Bombyx mori: one gene and its partner. The protein of the gene in region 1 binds, or shares a complex with, the protein of each later gene. Links are inferred from orthologs where the notes say so. Each region holds a gene or a part of one and is shown on either strand. Other genes may lie near its edges. The genes, in order: transcriptional adapter 2A and protein Dr1.

The links.
Region 2: transcriptional adapter 2A (region 1) and protein Dr1 share a complex: the UniProt entries of both Drosophila melanogaster proteins name them as parts of the ada2a-containing (ATAC) complex. The link is inferred for Bombyx mori from reciprocal best matches to the Drosophila melanogaster genes Ada2a and NC2beta.

Annotation. Positions count from the first base shown.
Region 1 is NC_085111.1:1,074,118-1,082,512, reverse strand, and holds transcriptional adapter 2A, read right to left. Parts: upstream 5,122-8,395; 5' UTR 5,114-5,121; coding exon 3,815-5,113; 3' UTR 3,805-3,814; downstream 1-3,804. Other genes in the region: cysteine-rich protein 2-binding protein, read left to right, coding at 344-534, 1,090-1,208, 2,229-2,410, 3,132-3,212, 5,122-5,214; DnaJ-5 (dnaJ (Hsp40) homolog 5), read left to right, coding at 7,613-8,395. UniProt on the Drosophila melanogaster protein: Component of the histone acetyltransferase (HAT) complex ATAC; predominantly involved in acetylation of histone H4, including at Lys-6 (H4K5ac) and Lys-13 (H4K12ac).
Region 2 is NC_085110.1:7,488,957-7,496,279, reverse strand, and holds the end of protein Dr1, read right to left. Parts: 5' UTR 7,176-7,323; coding exon 6,935-7,175; intron 6,828-6,934; coding exon 6,664-6,827; intron 5,206-6,663; coding exon 5,056-5,205; 3' UTR 5,041-5,055; exon of another isoform or gene 4,975-5,040; intron 4,101-4,974; 3' UTR 3,679-4,100; downstream 1-3,678. UniProt on the Drosophila melanogaster protein: Bifunctional basic transcription factor. Activates transcription of DPE (Downstream Promoter Element) containing promoters while repressing transcription of promoters which contain TATA elements.

The DNA of each region.
Region 1 (8,395 bases):
GCCCACCTGGTGTTAAGTGGTTACTGGAGCCCATAGACATCTACAACGTAAATGCGCCACCCACCTTGAGATATAAGTTCTAAGGTCTCAAGTTTAGTTACAAGGGCTGCCCCGCCCTTCAAACCGAAACGCATTACTGCTTCACGGCAGAAATAGGCAGGGTGGTGGTACCTACCCGTGCGGACTCACAACAGGTCCTACCACCAGTAAGAATACCTTTTTGGGGCACCCTGTATATATTTTTTTAGGAAATTCTCTGTTGTATGTAGTAGTCATAGCTAAAGTTGAAACCGGCGGACGATTGCTTCTAAATGATCTATTAAAAATTTTACTCTTTGTTTAGTTCCTTATGGATAACCTCTGCGGTACTATAGCAAGTACAACCCACGGAACCCTCCTGCTGTCGCGCATGGAAGCCCTGCCCTTCAGGTCTCCGTACTCCGGAGTCACCCTCAAGCCTTACATAAGACGGGACACCGAAACCTGCACCACCTGGATGAAGCTAATGGACGAGCTGCTGAGGAAAACTCACAGGTGATTGATTAGTTTCAATCTTAGACCTAATTGTTTCGAAATCAAATTAATTGGGATTTAAATTTTGATTTTTATATCTAATAGAGCAGTCGCCATATTGTAAATACTTAATAATATCTTATTGTCTTATTATTGAAAATTTTCAGCAGTAGTTTTAAATGAAATAGAGACGTCAACGTCCTACGACGAGGTGACCGATAATGTCCACTTACCATCTCATGAGCCGTGTTTCCGATCACTATTGTTAGTCTTTGAGTTTAGAGAGCATGAGAAATAATTTTATATAAAGAAAACGTTCAGTCACAAGTCAAATCTTGTGTTGACTTGGTGAGTCACTTCCATGTATGTGATGTAGGGATATGACAAAGGCAGGATCTTCCACGGCCCGAATCTCATTGTTCGAAACTTGTACACATATATTGCAAACGTCTCTTGAAAACGACATTTTGTATTTTATGTTGGCTACCGCCACATGTGACGCAAGCAGCTAATGGTAAAGCTAAGTTACTCAACCCTACCGAAGTTGTAACGTTATTAAAGTTAATTTATTTCCAGGCACATAAAAGACTACGAGCCACCCGCACGCATGTCCATTGACTACTCCTACGTCCGTCCGCAGCACATCGCTGCAGTCAATAATTTATGTGCCCAATTCTTCTGGCCCGGGATAGACTGTAAGTGTAATAAAATACCAAAACATTTCGACTGGATCTATTATGTCACAACGATCTGTATTCTCACAGCTTGGTAACCTATTCACAGTGAGGATATCTATACTAATAAGAAAACTATTAAAGAACATCTGTGCAATAAAGCTTACTATAAAGTCAATGATAATCTAGAAGATTGCACAAAGTGGGAATGAGTTGCTCGCTCCGGGCATTTCAATATTGTAAAATTGTTATGTTATAATTCCTTTTTGTAAAAATGAATATTTAAAAAAATCTAATATTCAAAAATAATAATCTAATATTTAAAAAAACAAAAAAAAAAAGACATGCCCGCTGAGTTTCTTGCCAATTCTTCTCAGGACGGAGGCTAATTCTCGTGAATTGGCGGTAGTTTTGACGTTCAACAAGTATGCACTTTCATTTATGTTGAATAAAACTTTTTTGATTTGATTTGATTTGATAATATATAAATCTACAGTGGTTTTTACGGATGTTCCGTTATAACTACTGAACCATGCATCCGATTGACTTGAAACTTGGTATCCATGTAGAAAATACATGTACTTAATGGATAGGCTAATATTTATATGAGTGTTGGACTCCCTACACCAGTTGCGGGGGCGTCAATGATGAGAATGTTTGTGGGGGTGAGAAATAATGATGTTAATTTTAAATGCCCAGCGAAGCGGATGGGTACAGCTAGTTGGTTTACATCAGGCTAACAATTGTGAACACTCGTATACATAAACATACAAGGTTCAAAAACTAAAAACATCGCGGTACCGTGTCTGATCACGCTTTTTATAGACATCTGCAACGTAAATGCCGCAACCTACCTTGAGATATAAGTTCTAAGGTCTCAATATAGTTAGAACCCCCGCCCTTCCAACCGAAACGCATTACTGCTTAACGGCAGCTATAAGCAGGGTAGTGGTAACTACCCGCGCGGACTCACAAGAGTTCCTACCACAAGTAATAAGGGAAATTATAATTTTGCTTAGATATGTTTGTGATGTCCGCCAGTAACTGAGGCCCTGCAGTACCCAGAGTTCAGCTGCGTAGTGACGTACGGACGCCTGGTCGTGGGCTGTGCCTTCCTGGTGCCGGACGCGGGACATTCCACCGCGTACATCTCCTTCGTGCTCACCAGGCCGGAGTGGGGCAGGGCCGGCATAGCTACATTCATGCTGTACCATCTACTTCAGGTATACTCGCCCATGAGGAACAGTAAGGCGGACATTTATTGCGATATTTCAGGAAGATGGATCTGGTTACCACATAATCCAGTCTCCGTAGTGGAGAAACTTTCTTTAAAAAAGAAAGTTGTATCTCCAGTGAAGAACATACGAAGTAAGAACATATCGCCAGATCTTAATACGTTGACTGCCATGTAGGTCACCGGTGCCCTACGTGGCGCACTCAAGTAATTATGTCGATTTCTCTCTTTTCTATCTTCTTACTAAGGCGCTGAAACATCTCGTAGTCGCTGGGAAAGAATTCGAAGATACTGAGAATGAATATATTTCTGGAGACCTAAAATACTAAAACATATTATATTAAACACAAAAGAAGGCAAAATTAAGCAATCCCAGCGCTTAGTAATAGAGATCGACATAATTACCTCAGTGCGCCGCGTAGGGCATCAGTGCCCTACATGGCGGTCAACGTATTAATATAATATTAATTCAATCAGTAAAACGGATCATGATATGGGTTGCATGGCAACGGACACAAAACTGTTCATTTTTTTTAAATAAAGAAGGTTCACCCTGCATTGAATACTGGTGACTTCAGGTCAAAGTTAGGTTATATATAATCTTACTCTATGGGTCAAAGTATCAACTGCATTGTATGTTTACCTTAAATTATTTGCTAATATAAGGTTCAGGCTTAAGTGTTGTAGACAATTACCTTTTTTACTTACAGACTTGCACGGGCCAAGATATCACACTGCATGTGTCACCAACAAATCCAGCTATATTTTTATATCAAAAATTTGGCTTCAAAGTGAGTATCATGAAAACCCTATTTCTCTGGTATTATGGTACAATGTATTATCAGCATATTATGATACATTATGAATATCACTCAATGTATTGTAATTATTATGTAAACTTATCTGGAGTTTTACAAAACTGCTTCACGCCAGAAACATGCTGATGCATAGATTAGTCTACTATTTCAAAGCTACTAAAATTTTGACCTCATACCTCATATTACCAATGTATCTATGTATCTAACTATTTTCATCGCATTTTACACTACCACATTATTTGTTGATAATGAATCCAAAAGTAACATTTTGTGCACAAAGAACAGACAAACAGACAACGTGAACTATGAATATTTCATTTCTGCAGTTGGGCTTCTGAGCTCACACCCAACTCACCTATCCCAAAGTATTGTAATGTCACTGCTCTCACACTGTTCAAGTTATATTGAAAGTATGAATACTTTAAGACTAAAATAGGCACATTAGTGGTAGAAATACACACAGGCTAACAATACTTTGTTGCATAATAATTTTCGATTGATAAATAGTTGACAAGTGTGTGTATCTGCAATTCAGCATAGCATATGTGGTGTTAAATGATACCAATTTGTCATAGTCACAATGGTTTACTTATAAAACCTTCATATAACAAATAATCATAAATTTTCCTAGTCTTATTTACATCTATTTTAACAATTTTCCTTGCATCTAAAAGTCGTAGGAATCCAAGCTTACTGTTCTGAGCTATAAGATGCTCTTTTATTTCCAAGTAGTTTGTTGGTACAAGCCTCAAATTAGAACATAGTACTTGTTCAGCCTCACTCAGCCTGTGGAAACCTGGCAAGTCAATTATTTCTAAGGGCATTGCCATACGCTTGTAACGCAGCACTTGGTGGTTTTTTGTGTACATAGTCTTCACTGGTGATTGATTTTCAAATTTCTTGGCCATAACACATGTAGCATACTTTTGTTCTTTCATGATTATGTCATTTTCTTTTTTAAGTTGCTTATAAAGTTTGGCAGTATAAAGAGTTTTTATACCATTCTTACGGTATTCACATAAATGTCCAATTCTCTGTAACAGCTCGTTCTCTAAGCTCATGGATTCCATGAAAGCGTCAAACTGTATTCCTGTCATGAACTGCATGAAGCAAAGCAATCGTTCTGCTTTCTGTCGTGTTATAGTGAGGTCAAACTTTTGGATCCATGAGAAAAGCTTATTTGGCATTACTAAGCCATGATTCTGTATAATTTTATACCTTCTATGTCTTTCTCTTAATCTTGTATTAAGAGCATTCACTAAAGACACCTTTAAAGAATCCATCATGTCCATTTCATCCTCATCCTCATCATCATCTTCAGAGTAACTGTCTTCAATATTAAATATGCTTTCAGCATTGTGATCATAACTGAATTCAAATTCAGATCTATATGTATTGTAACCAGCTAAATGTTGATCTGAACTGTTATTTCTAGGCGGATTAGTGCTTACATCTGTATTGTACAAGTATGGAGTAATTGGCATTGGAAAAAGTGACTGTTGTGTTTCCTTTAGTAATCTCAATTCTTTATACTGCACATTCTCTATGTAATATTTCCTATAATGCTCTTGACATTCGAGTTTAGAACGTGTGTGCACATTCTTAGATATTTCTTCCCAATTTCCGAATCCGTATGTAGAAAGTGCTGATAACAATTTGCACTCTTCTTTAGCAGACCAATTGCAATTACCGAATAATGGAAAATCATTTCTTCTTATCGCGTATTTGTGGTCATTTTTATGCATTTCTGTTTCCTTGCCGGATGAAAAACAAGGAGTGCAAACATTGCTTTCGCACTCGCAACATTCGATAAAAGGCTCGTGTGCGACTTCTGAACACAAATCGCAGTTCGTTTGTAGTATATCTCTGGACATTATTTCAGGTTGAAGAACTTATACAAGACTTTTATGAGAAGTACTACGACATCGAATACAAGGGATGCCGGCACGCGCTCTTTCTTCGACTTGTCAGATAAATAAAGTAGTACTTTAAAAACCTTTATTTTATTTACAAACAAAACCTAATAGTCTAACTATCACTTACCTATTGAACAAACTTCAAAAATTCAAAAACAAAAGAACTAAACACCTACATTTCGATAGAACTTCACGCACAGATCAGTTGTTTATTGGTTTACAATAGAAGATAGTGATTTTTTTCTATTTAGTAAAACCGGTTAAACTATGTAATGTTAGGGATTACTATTTCAGCAAACGTTTAGAAAATACAATATTTAAGTAAGTACGGTTCCTACATAATAGTAGTAGTTTTATTTTTTCAACTGAAAAGTCAATGGTATCATACCATACAGCCTAATCTTTTATAATTCATTTTATATGAAAAATGATAATATGAAGTGTAATTAAATGAAGTTGATTAATGAAACATGGCATGAAATGAAATGAGGTTGGATAATATGGGATAAAATATAATCTCAGTAAAATGGTGGTCATTTACTAAGACTTTTTCAATTGACTTTTTGGAAGATCCCGAGAAGTTACGTCCAGTGCCTTTGTTTCATTTTCCCACATTTGTGCACTTTCACAGATACTAAACAGTTAATAAGCCACGTTATTACACATTTAAATCTAACAAACAAATCACACAACTTCACTCCTCGCGGTTCCGCCAAAAAGATCTTACCTTTTTTGTTCTTGCCCTGTCATACATACATAACTTTATTCAAAATAACTACATATCTCGGTGAGTAGGGATGGTGATCAGGGATTGATTTCTGTTTAAATCGATCTTTTTATCATTATAATAGCCAATCCATCTAGGACATTAGCAAATCAAAATGCATTTGCAAACAGGTTATCATCATATCATGTGTGAAAATCCATTATTATTGGAAAATGAAATAAAGTTGCTGAACGTGACGTCTCGGGTTCTTCCAAAAAATCTATTGAAACAACGCAAATTGATGACAATATCAGTTAATAAACAAATTCATTTCAATCCGATCCATTCCATTTGACATCAAAGCATCGATATTAAAAAAGTATTTTAAAGTCGGTGCTGGTGACATTACACGGAAAATAAAAAAAAAGCGAATATCGAAAAAATATATTTATGGGCAGTCGATTTTCTCTTTTTCGAGAAGAAGGATCATTCCTACTTTTTCATATATCTGTACTTATGTCTTTGTCAACGTTTACTATGTATCACTGCTAAATATCTGTTACGACTTCATACTTAACTCTTAGGTGTGTACTTATAGGTAAGGAGAACTATCTTAAAATGAGAGACAAGTTGAAGAAGCATCCGGCTGTAAGCAGCAAATTGCAATTCAGAAAACTCATTAAAACAGGGCTAGTGTAGCAAATGGATGATGTAGAAATTGTAAGGGAGTGAAGTATGCTTAGTTGAAAAACTTTCTGGGCTATCTTTAAAATTACACCACTGCCTACGATGGCGCTACCCTAATTGGTCGCCTTTCGACGATCACTTTTTCATACACAGAAAACCATTTCTCGAAAAGTATGGACGGTAAAGGCAAACAGCGGGTGATGCTTACAGCTGGTTCTGCTTACCTCTAACCTCCATACTTTACCAGCAACGAATAAAACACAGTGTTTTAGTTTACTTAGGAAAACTGGGTAACTAAATCCAAAATGTATCATTTGATTAACCCGCTATGATAGATGATGTTCTTCTTTGATAAGCTTCCTTAATTTTTGAATTTGTTAACAGTAGATCTAATAAAAAAAACAATCTAAAAGATATAATAAACACTAGTATCGCTTTAAAATAAATAATCCCCTTTTCAGAATAATCATTAAATAGATAATATTTTGAAAACATGAACAATTAAATATTGCATTTTTTATTTATTAAGTCGTAACAGAGAACATGGTAAAATAAAAAAGAAACAACGAGAACATACTGACATTTATAATCGGGTCGAGATTCGAGAAAATGACGTGCCCATTAGCCGATGAACATAGAAATTTATATTTGTCTCTTTTTAACATTAGCTAGTTCATATTGCTTTCTTTTTATTGCATCTCGCTCACGTCACGGGTGAAGGTCCTAGAATGTTCTAGATGTTTTGATGTATATATTTTGGTTCGACGAGAGCGCCGCGTTTCATTCAATTGTGATATTGCTGAAGTGAAGTGTTGAGTTTTGCGTTGTGATTATTTGCTAAAATTTCGTAAATTGTGCTTAAATTATCAAGGATTAAAGTTTCTCTAATACAAGTAAGTGTTCTGAAAATGCTATGTTGATTTTTTTCATTTAAAAACCGTGGTTTTGTTATAAAATGTGGTCTATCAAATTTATGAAACGAAAATGATCGACGAAATCGTGCTTCCAAAAAAGGTGTCAAACGTCGAGACTGATCTTTTTTTTTTGTTTCAGTACAAATCAAAATGGGCAAAGACTACTATAAAATATTGGGAATAACAAAAGGTGCTTCGGACGATGACATCAAGAAAGCCTACAGAAAATTGGCATTAAAGTACCACCCGGACAAGAACAAGGCTGCGGGCGCAGAGGAAAGGTTTAAAGAAGTGGCAGAAGCTTATGAGGTTTTATCGGACAAGAAGAAAAGAGAAATTTATGATGCGCACGGCGAAGAAGGCCTAAAGGGTGGTATGGGCGGGCAGAATGGTCCTGGTGGCGGTCAATCATTTTCCTACACGTTCCACGGCGACCCGAAAGCAACGTTCGCGCAGTTCTTTGGTTCGGCCAGCCCGTTCCAGGAATTCTTCGATCTGAATGGAGGTGGAACTACAACGTTCTTCGACCGCGACATGGATGTGGATATGGATCCTTTCAGTAACATAAGCATGGGGCAGGCGCGACCAGGTGGCCCCGGTGGTGCTTTCCGCAGTCACAGCTTTAATTTCCATGGTTCACCTAGTAGGAAGGAGAAGACGCAGGACCCCCCCATCGAACACGATTTATACGTATCATTAGAAGATATCGCCCGTGGTTGTGTCAAGAAGATGAAGATATCGCGACGTGTAATACAGCAAGATGGTACCTCGAAGAAGGAAGACAAGGTGTTGACCATACACGTGAAGCCTGGCTGGAAAGCTGGAACTAAGATTACCTTCCAGAAAGAAGGTGATCGAGGTCGTAATAAAATCCCAGCAGACATAGTGTTTATCATCCGAGATAAGGCACATCCACTATTCAAGCGAGAAGGC
Region 2 (7,323 bases), on another chromosome or scaffold:
CAATACAATTCGCCCAATATATTAATATAAAAGGAATACATATTTCATTATCTCGAACTTCAAGAATGTAATACATGACCCATAAACACAACTATTTCTGTTAAATTTGAATGGGTGGCGTGACGTCATGCATTGTGATTTGTATTTACAAAACCGGGTTTTAAAAAAAAACAAGATACGTACGTTTGATATTTAAATGAGTAAAATGCACCCTTAGTTCAATTTTAAATCTATCAGGTTCTATATAAATATTAAGTATTTTTGTTATGTTTCTGAAGTCTAGTGCCCAATAATGTAAATCCTGGTTGAATTAGGTATTCAATTTGATAGTTTAAAAGAAAAGAGCAGAAAATCCGCATCGTTATAACAATTATTCCGTCTGATTAAAGATATAAAGCAATGTCTAGGACCTAAGACACCTAGACTAGACTAACTAGACTAGTATTTTCTTTTACCATTTATATGTACCATTATGAATTTTATATTAAATTATACATTTTGTAATGCGCCTTAGTAGAATGCTAGATTGTGACGAATAATATTAATAGATACCAAATAAAATACAAATATTGAAATAAAAACGGAAATTTGCGCAACTTTGAATAGGTAATTATTATTGAAAGCAATAAATTAAGCAACCGACCAAATTACAATTCCCGTAAGTTATATGTATAGAATACAGATACTAGGTTATCCAATATATGTACAATAACTTAAGGAACAATCACGATTGGACTGGATAATTTAAGCCTTTTTTATTTAAGCCTAGTTAATAATATGTAAGTATTAATGTTAAGTGTGTAGTGATTTAACAATAATTGCATTACTGAATACGAATACATCAGTTTGTAGAACTATAATGCAAATAGCTACTCCAGGCAGCGGCTTGACTCTGCCCCTGGCATTGCTGAAGTCCATGGGCGACAGTAACCACTCACCATCAGGTGGGCCGTGTGCTCGTCTGCCTACAAGGGCAATTAAAAAAATTACAAGTATTCTCCGAAGTTTAGTGCAATGTATAATTATTATTCTTACTAAGATTTTTTTTACTACTTTTGATTCTGGGTTTCGTTGTCCTTGAGATATGAGTTCAAAGTTAGCTTATTAGATGTCGAGTATCTGTTAAAACGGAACCTATATTTGCTCGCACTAAAAAAAGGCATTGTAGTCGTACCTAATTATGTGTTATTTTCCATCAATACCTAATTATATAAACAAAACTTCTAAAAATATTGAAATAGAAGCATAGATTATGCTGCTGATAATGATGATTGATAGGGCCGGTTTCTCAAGCCAGATAAGATTTATCATTTAGAATATAAATCTTGACTTGATTGAGGTAGTGTATTATTTCGATTGCTGCTTTCAGAACGATTGCCTTACATCCTTTATAGAAAGATGAGAAATATTACAATCAAACGCACCAGGGTTGGTATTAAACTTACCGTGTGATGTCACAGCATTCTCGTAAATACCGTATGTTGAACATAAGATTCATATTATTGTAAACGGACAATTTCATTCAAAATAAAGCTTTAAAAATTACCTACTGGACTTTATAATTCCTTAACTTTCCGTAAAACTAAACGAAAGATTTACCAGGGGGAATCGCTAGATCGAAAAATTTTACAATCTGGATTTTATGATAGATGCTAGTTAAATTTCAAACCGGCACTTGATTGACCTGTATCAACGACGGAACCTTCGTATGAGGAAGTTACGACGAATATAGACAGTTTTTTATTAATGTATTAGATTTTTTTATTCAAGAACAATAGCATCTTTTTATTTTCTAAGTTCTGGTATGCAACAGAGAGGGAATGCCCATGTTCGCCTTGTAGTCTGAGTTTTTTAAAGTATAAATGAAAATTGGTTTTTAAATTTTCAATCATAAAAAGGACCTTATTTATACCTTCCGGACACTAGCATAACTAGAATATAACTATTATTCCAATGCACACAAATCTTGTTTGGCGTATTGATGGCATTATTTACACAAAACGAAAACATTACCCACATGGTATCGGGTTGCCAGCGTGCCGCTCTTTAGGATATGCACTATGCAGATAGGCAGGGCTAGATAGGTCAATTTAGATAACCTTATTTTAAAGCTTGATAAGACCGTCCGGGTGCCTTATTGCTGAATGCTTCGATCAACAATAGTAACTAGATAAAGGGATACGTACAAAATTAAAGCAACAACTGTCCGCGTGAATATATACTTATATAGCTACATTCGTTTACTAACAAACGGAGAAAAAAGTTTTGAAACACTTTTACGTTCAAACTAATAACAACTATGGCACCTAGAAATAAAGTCACAAATCTCCAAAACATTATCTAATACTTACGATCATTCGTCACATAAAACGAGCAAAGCAATAAATTACTCCTGTCACTTACCAATAAAAAGACATATTTTAAACAACTTTTAATGTTAAATCAATCTTAAAGGCAACAAAGTAACTTTTCCCTTAATTGCTCTGAGAACTAACATCGTTTTGCTTTATTTATTTTTGCTTTATTTATTTTTGCTTCTTGAAATGCCGATTTCTATTTACTACAGGAGGTAAGGGAGTCGCGCTTAACACTAAAATAATTTATTAATGAATTAAAGTAAAAGTTTAGTTGTTTACTTTTTATGTTTTGGAAATGTATGTGTGTTAGTATCTATACATTACTTATTATTTTATTAGCGTTACGTTTTTGTGTAATATATATTTTTAAGTTTTCGCGACCAGTGCACATAATAAAACAACGTTTAAACGGTTTCAAGCGTGGTTTTTTTATTACAATGTTTCGTCCCGTTTCAGTAGCCGTGAGCACGGAAGGCAAAGATGTCCAGTGTCAATAAGCGGAGATCTTAGCTGGCTTATAAAAGTAATCTCTTGTTTCTCTGGCGACAATCGAGATCCATTCTGCACACGTGATTGCTAGGAAAGCTAAAATAAAAATGGAAAGCTAAGTATCTAATGAGAGTCCAACAAACAGACACAAAAGCAGCATTAACCAATTTTAACCAACTAATTTTGATGTGCTGCTAACAAATTTTAAAAAATTATTACAACATAAATCTACGCCATGCATTTACTGTTCTGTTCAGCAAAAGTTTGTCCATGTGTTGGCCGAGCCTTGGCCAACATTTGTAGCGGTGGTTAAAAATCGGTAATTTTGTTCAAAATTTAATATTATTTATAAGTTTAAAGCTTACAATATAGTTTATACTTCATGTACTTACCGAAAGTAAGATATTCCGGCCGTTAAATTGCTTTTTCGGGCCTTATTTTTGCAACTTTTGAATACACACTGCGGTATTGTGAGACGGGTTGACATTGGCTGTGTTTGAAGTGAACTAAACAAAATAAGAGCTCACATTTCAAGTGCGCTGTTATTTGACGAGACGGATTTTATGCACCGACCCGAAATCTAGTTACTATTGTTGATCGAAGGCTGAATGTGTTCTTGAAACTTATGTGTAATTACTTTTTTAAATCATAAACAAGTCCAGTCTTAGTCTAGCTAAAAGTGAGGCCATTGTTTCACTACTTTTGTACCAAATTTTGTTCTAAAGGTTGGTAAGAAACTCCGCGTAAACTGTTTTAAAACCTAGTTTATTAATTAGGTACATGATACTGAAAAGGGTATACCTTTTAATCGTGTACGAAAATGTAAAGACAGTTATTTTTTACATTATATGTATATTTTATAATTTTACTAATACTACATTTATTTCTTCATTTATAATTAACAAGTGTTTGCGTGTGTTTGTATCGACCCACTAATTATAACTAATCGTTTGATCAACTAATTTGATTTGATAATGTAGTTGTGCTAATAATAAAGATAAATAGCGAGTTACAGCTCATACAAACTTCCCAGTTTCCTTCAGAATTTGGACTGCCAATATACATATTGTTACGCGCTGGGGTTCGGGATAAATAAAATTTTACCGAATTACATGTTATCACTGTATTCAACACTTAAAACACTTCACAAACACTTTAAAATTCTCAATTCGCTTCTTCCGCTTCGCTTCGAGTAGTTCCGATTACTAACTGCCTGTCATATCTGCAACGCTCTTATACGCCGATACCACATCCCTAAAATTATCAAGAATATTCCACAAAAGTCTAGTATTGTGTGTTTCCACTATCTGACAATAGATGGCGTTGTACTTCTCGAACGTTCTAGGTGCTACTAGATCCTTCCCTATTCGTTCGACTATTCGGCGAAAGATAGCGTTACTCTTACCGGCGTAACAACATTTATGTCAGTATACCCACTAAAATCGATCGCTTTTACCTCTTACATTAATTTTAATAAATTTGGGAACATCTGTTACTATTAACATGTCAATCAACGCCGTATTTTTGCATAGATTGGTGGAAGAGCTCATGGCCCACCTAGTTTTAAACGGTTACCGGAGCCCATAGACATCTACAACGTAAATGCCGCCACTCACCTTGAGATATGAGTTTTAATTCTAAGGTCTCAGTATAGTTATAATGGCTAACCCACCCTTCAAACCGAAACGGATTACTGCTTCACGGCAGAAATAGCCAGGGTTGTGGTACCTATCCGTGCGGACCAACAAGAAGTCCGACCACCAATAATTACGCAGGATTCGAACACCAGTGTATCGCTCAACACAAATGCACCAGGCGTCTTATCCTTTAGGCCACGACGATTTTGACTAAATAAAGGCAAAACATCCAGCTTAGTGAACTTTTAGAAGAGACAGTGGTATACTTATTGTATAACCATGTATTAACTGGCATCATAGTTCATACACTTAATAATTGGAATTTCACTATGCACTCTCTTCAAATACGCCTCATTATATTATGGTTTTTAGGTTACATACTATCAAGTTTTAGATTCATCTTTAGTTTGAGAGCGACATAGGATCTATAGAAGTAATTTAAAATTTAGTGTGAAATTTTGTTCACATTAAGTAAATTTAAATTAAATACATGACACAAACAACATTTATATTATAACACAGCCAGAAACAAAACTGTCATAATATTAAACAATAACCTAATTAAATGTTTCTTATGAGTAATCATCATCTTCATCATCATCAGTTCTTGGAGCAGTTGTAGGTGGTACATATGGTTGTGCATTTCCTTCAACACCAACAAGTCCTTGTTGTTGTAGTAAAAGCCACTGTTGCTGTTCTTGTTTTGCTTGTTCCTCACGGGCCTGTGTTAAATAAAGTTTAATTATAAATTGGGTATTTTTTAAAAGTGAATTTTTTTAGGCGCATTGAGAGTAATATTTAACTCACGATAGTTAGGCAGTTACTTCGTTACAGCTTGAGAGAAAAGATACAATTTAAGAGGAGCGAGAATGAGAAAATAGACAGATCGTCTCGCAAACCACTAGACCTTTGAGAGGGAGATAGTGAGCTAGGTCGTTTCTCACACATTCTGTTTACGAGCGTCGGCCACTAGATGGCAATAAGATAATGACGTATATTTTAATGGAGGATTTATAAGAAAAAATATTTTTTTTTATATATAATTTAAAACATATTGATGCTTGAAAGGCAAACATGACTAAGCGACAATAACTGCTTTGTACATAAATGATAGGCAATAACCATATTCGACTTGCAAAAAATATATATTTCTAGGTCTATTAAAATAATTTCAATCCTACAGCTACTAGCTAGATTCTACTACAGCTAGACTCATTAAAATAAATTTTGTTGTCAGGTATTTCAACTTTAAATTAGTCTACTGTAAAGTTCACGCATTGTCGCTTAGTCACATTTGCCTTTCAAGCGTCGATATATAAAAGGATAAGAGGTCATTTCTCGGAGAGAAATTTGATTTAATGATTAAAAATTAAGAAAACCACATGGACTAAGTTAAACCAGTCATAAAAGTTAAACCAGTATATACACAAACTATTTGCCATGAGATATAATTATATTAAAATAATATCTACAATTGGTTCTCATATTGACCATAAGTAATTATGAAAATGTGGTTTTATCATACTCTGTCTCCTGTTAACATATCTAACAAAATAAGATATCAAATACAGGGGCTTGCTCGATTCCATATTTTTTTATGAACACTTTTTTCCTACTTATTTTCCCAAAGCTTAAGAAATACAACATCTAGGTTATTACAAAGTGCTTACTCGAGTTTGTTCTATATGAACCTTGATTGAAGCCTCAATTGTATTGTTTAACAGCTTGTATTGCATGATTGCTGTTACACCTCAAAGGGTTAGGTTAATAAGTGTTCTCTAAAAGTTCCTGTACATTCCTGAGTAGAAAGGACTAAAGTATGAAGCTTAAGCTGACATTTAAATGGGGTGATTACTTTGAATTAAATTGAATCAAATTGGTTTTTTTTTGTATGGTCTATATAACAATCCCATCCTTATGTTGTTTAAATGACATTAGAGACCAATTTATTATTGACCAGTTTGTATGAAGATCAACAAATCCACATCTAATGTTTACATTAAATGAATTGAAACATAATTGCTCTATAATATAAATAGGGTTTATTACATATGTCGGATTAGTCTGATTGGTTTGGTAAGATTGTTACTTCATTTTTTTCATTTCAAAATCATGACCACAGACACATTTTTATTGAATTTCATAATGGTTAAGAAAATACTGATTTAAATTGTTTAAACCTTTGCAAACAGTTCTTGTTGTTGTCTCAATAATTCTTCTTCTGGAATGCCTAAATTCTCAAGGCGTGTGCTTTGTCGTCTTCTTTTAGCCGCCACTGCTTTACAATCTTTTAAGACAGCTTCTGCTTCTATTGTGTAGTCACTAAATCCTAATCTGTCTAGGGCTGAAAATTAGTTTGATACTGAAGCTTAAAGTTAAATTCGTAAAAAAAATATGTTCGTGTTCCTTATGATAATATTAATTGTCTTTTAACAATAGTGAAATATATACCTGTAAGGACATGTTCTGCATTAATTGTTTTCTTATTGCTTTGATTACATACTTCATTGGCTTCAGAACTAATCAAATGTATGAATTCAGTGCAGCAATTTAGGATTAACTCCCTTGACTCGAACGCTACACGAACAGAAGGCACTAACTCTTTTATCATTTTATTTATACTAGCTCTTGGTAGAGTCAGTTCGTCCTCTTCTGAAGGTGGTGGACAAAGTTCACGCTCTGGACTTCCCATGGTAACGAATTTATGAACGCCCACTTCTATTTTTTTGTGGTAGCCTTTGGGCCACTTTGGGCCATTAAGTGTATAATCTATGCTTTGGGCCACTTTGACTCTTTTTTTAAGAGATTTTATGACCTGGTAACTAAGACCTTTAAGTCAT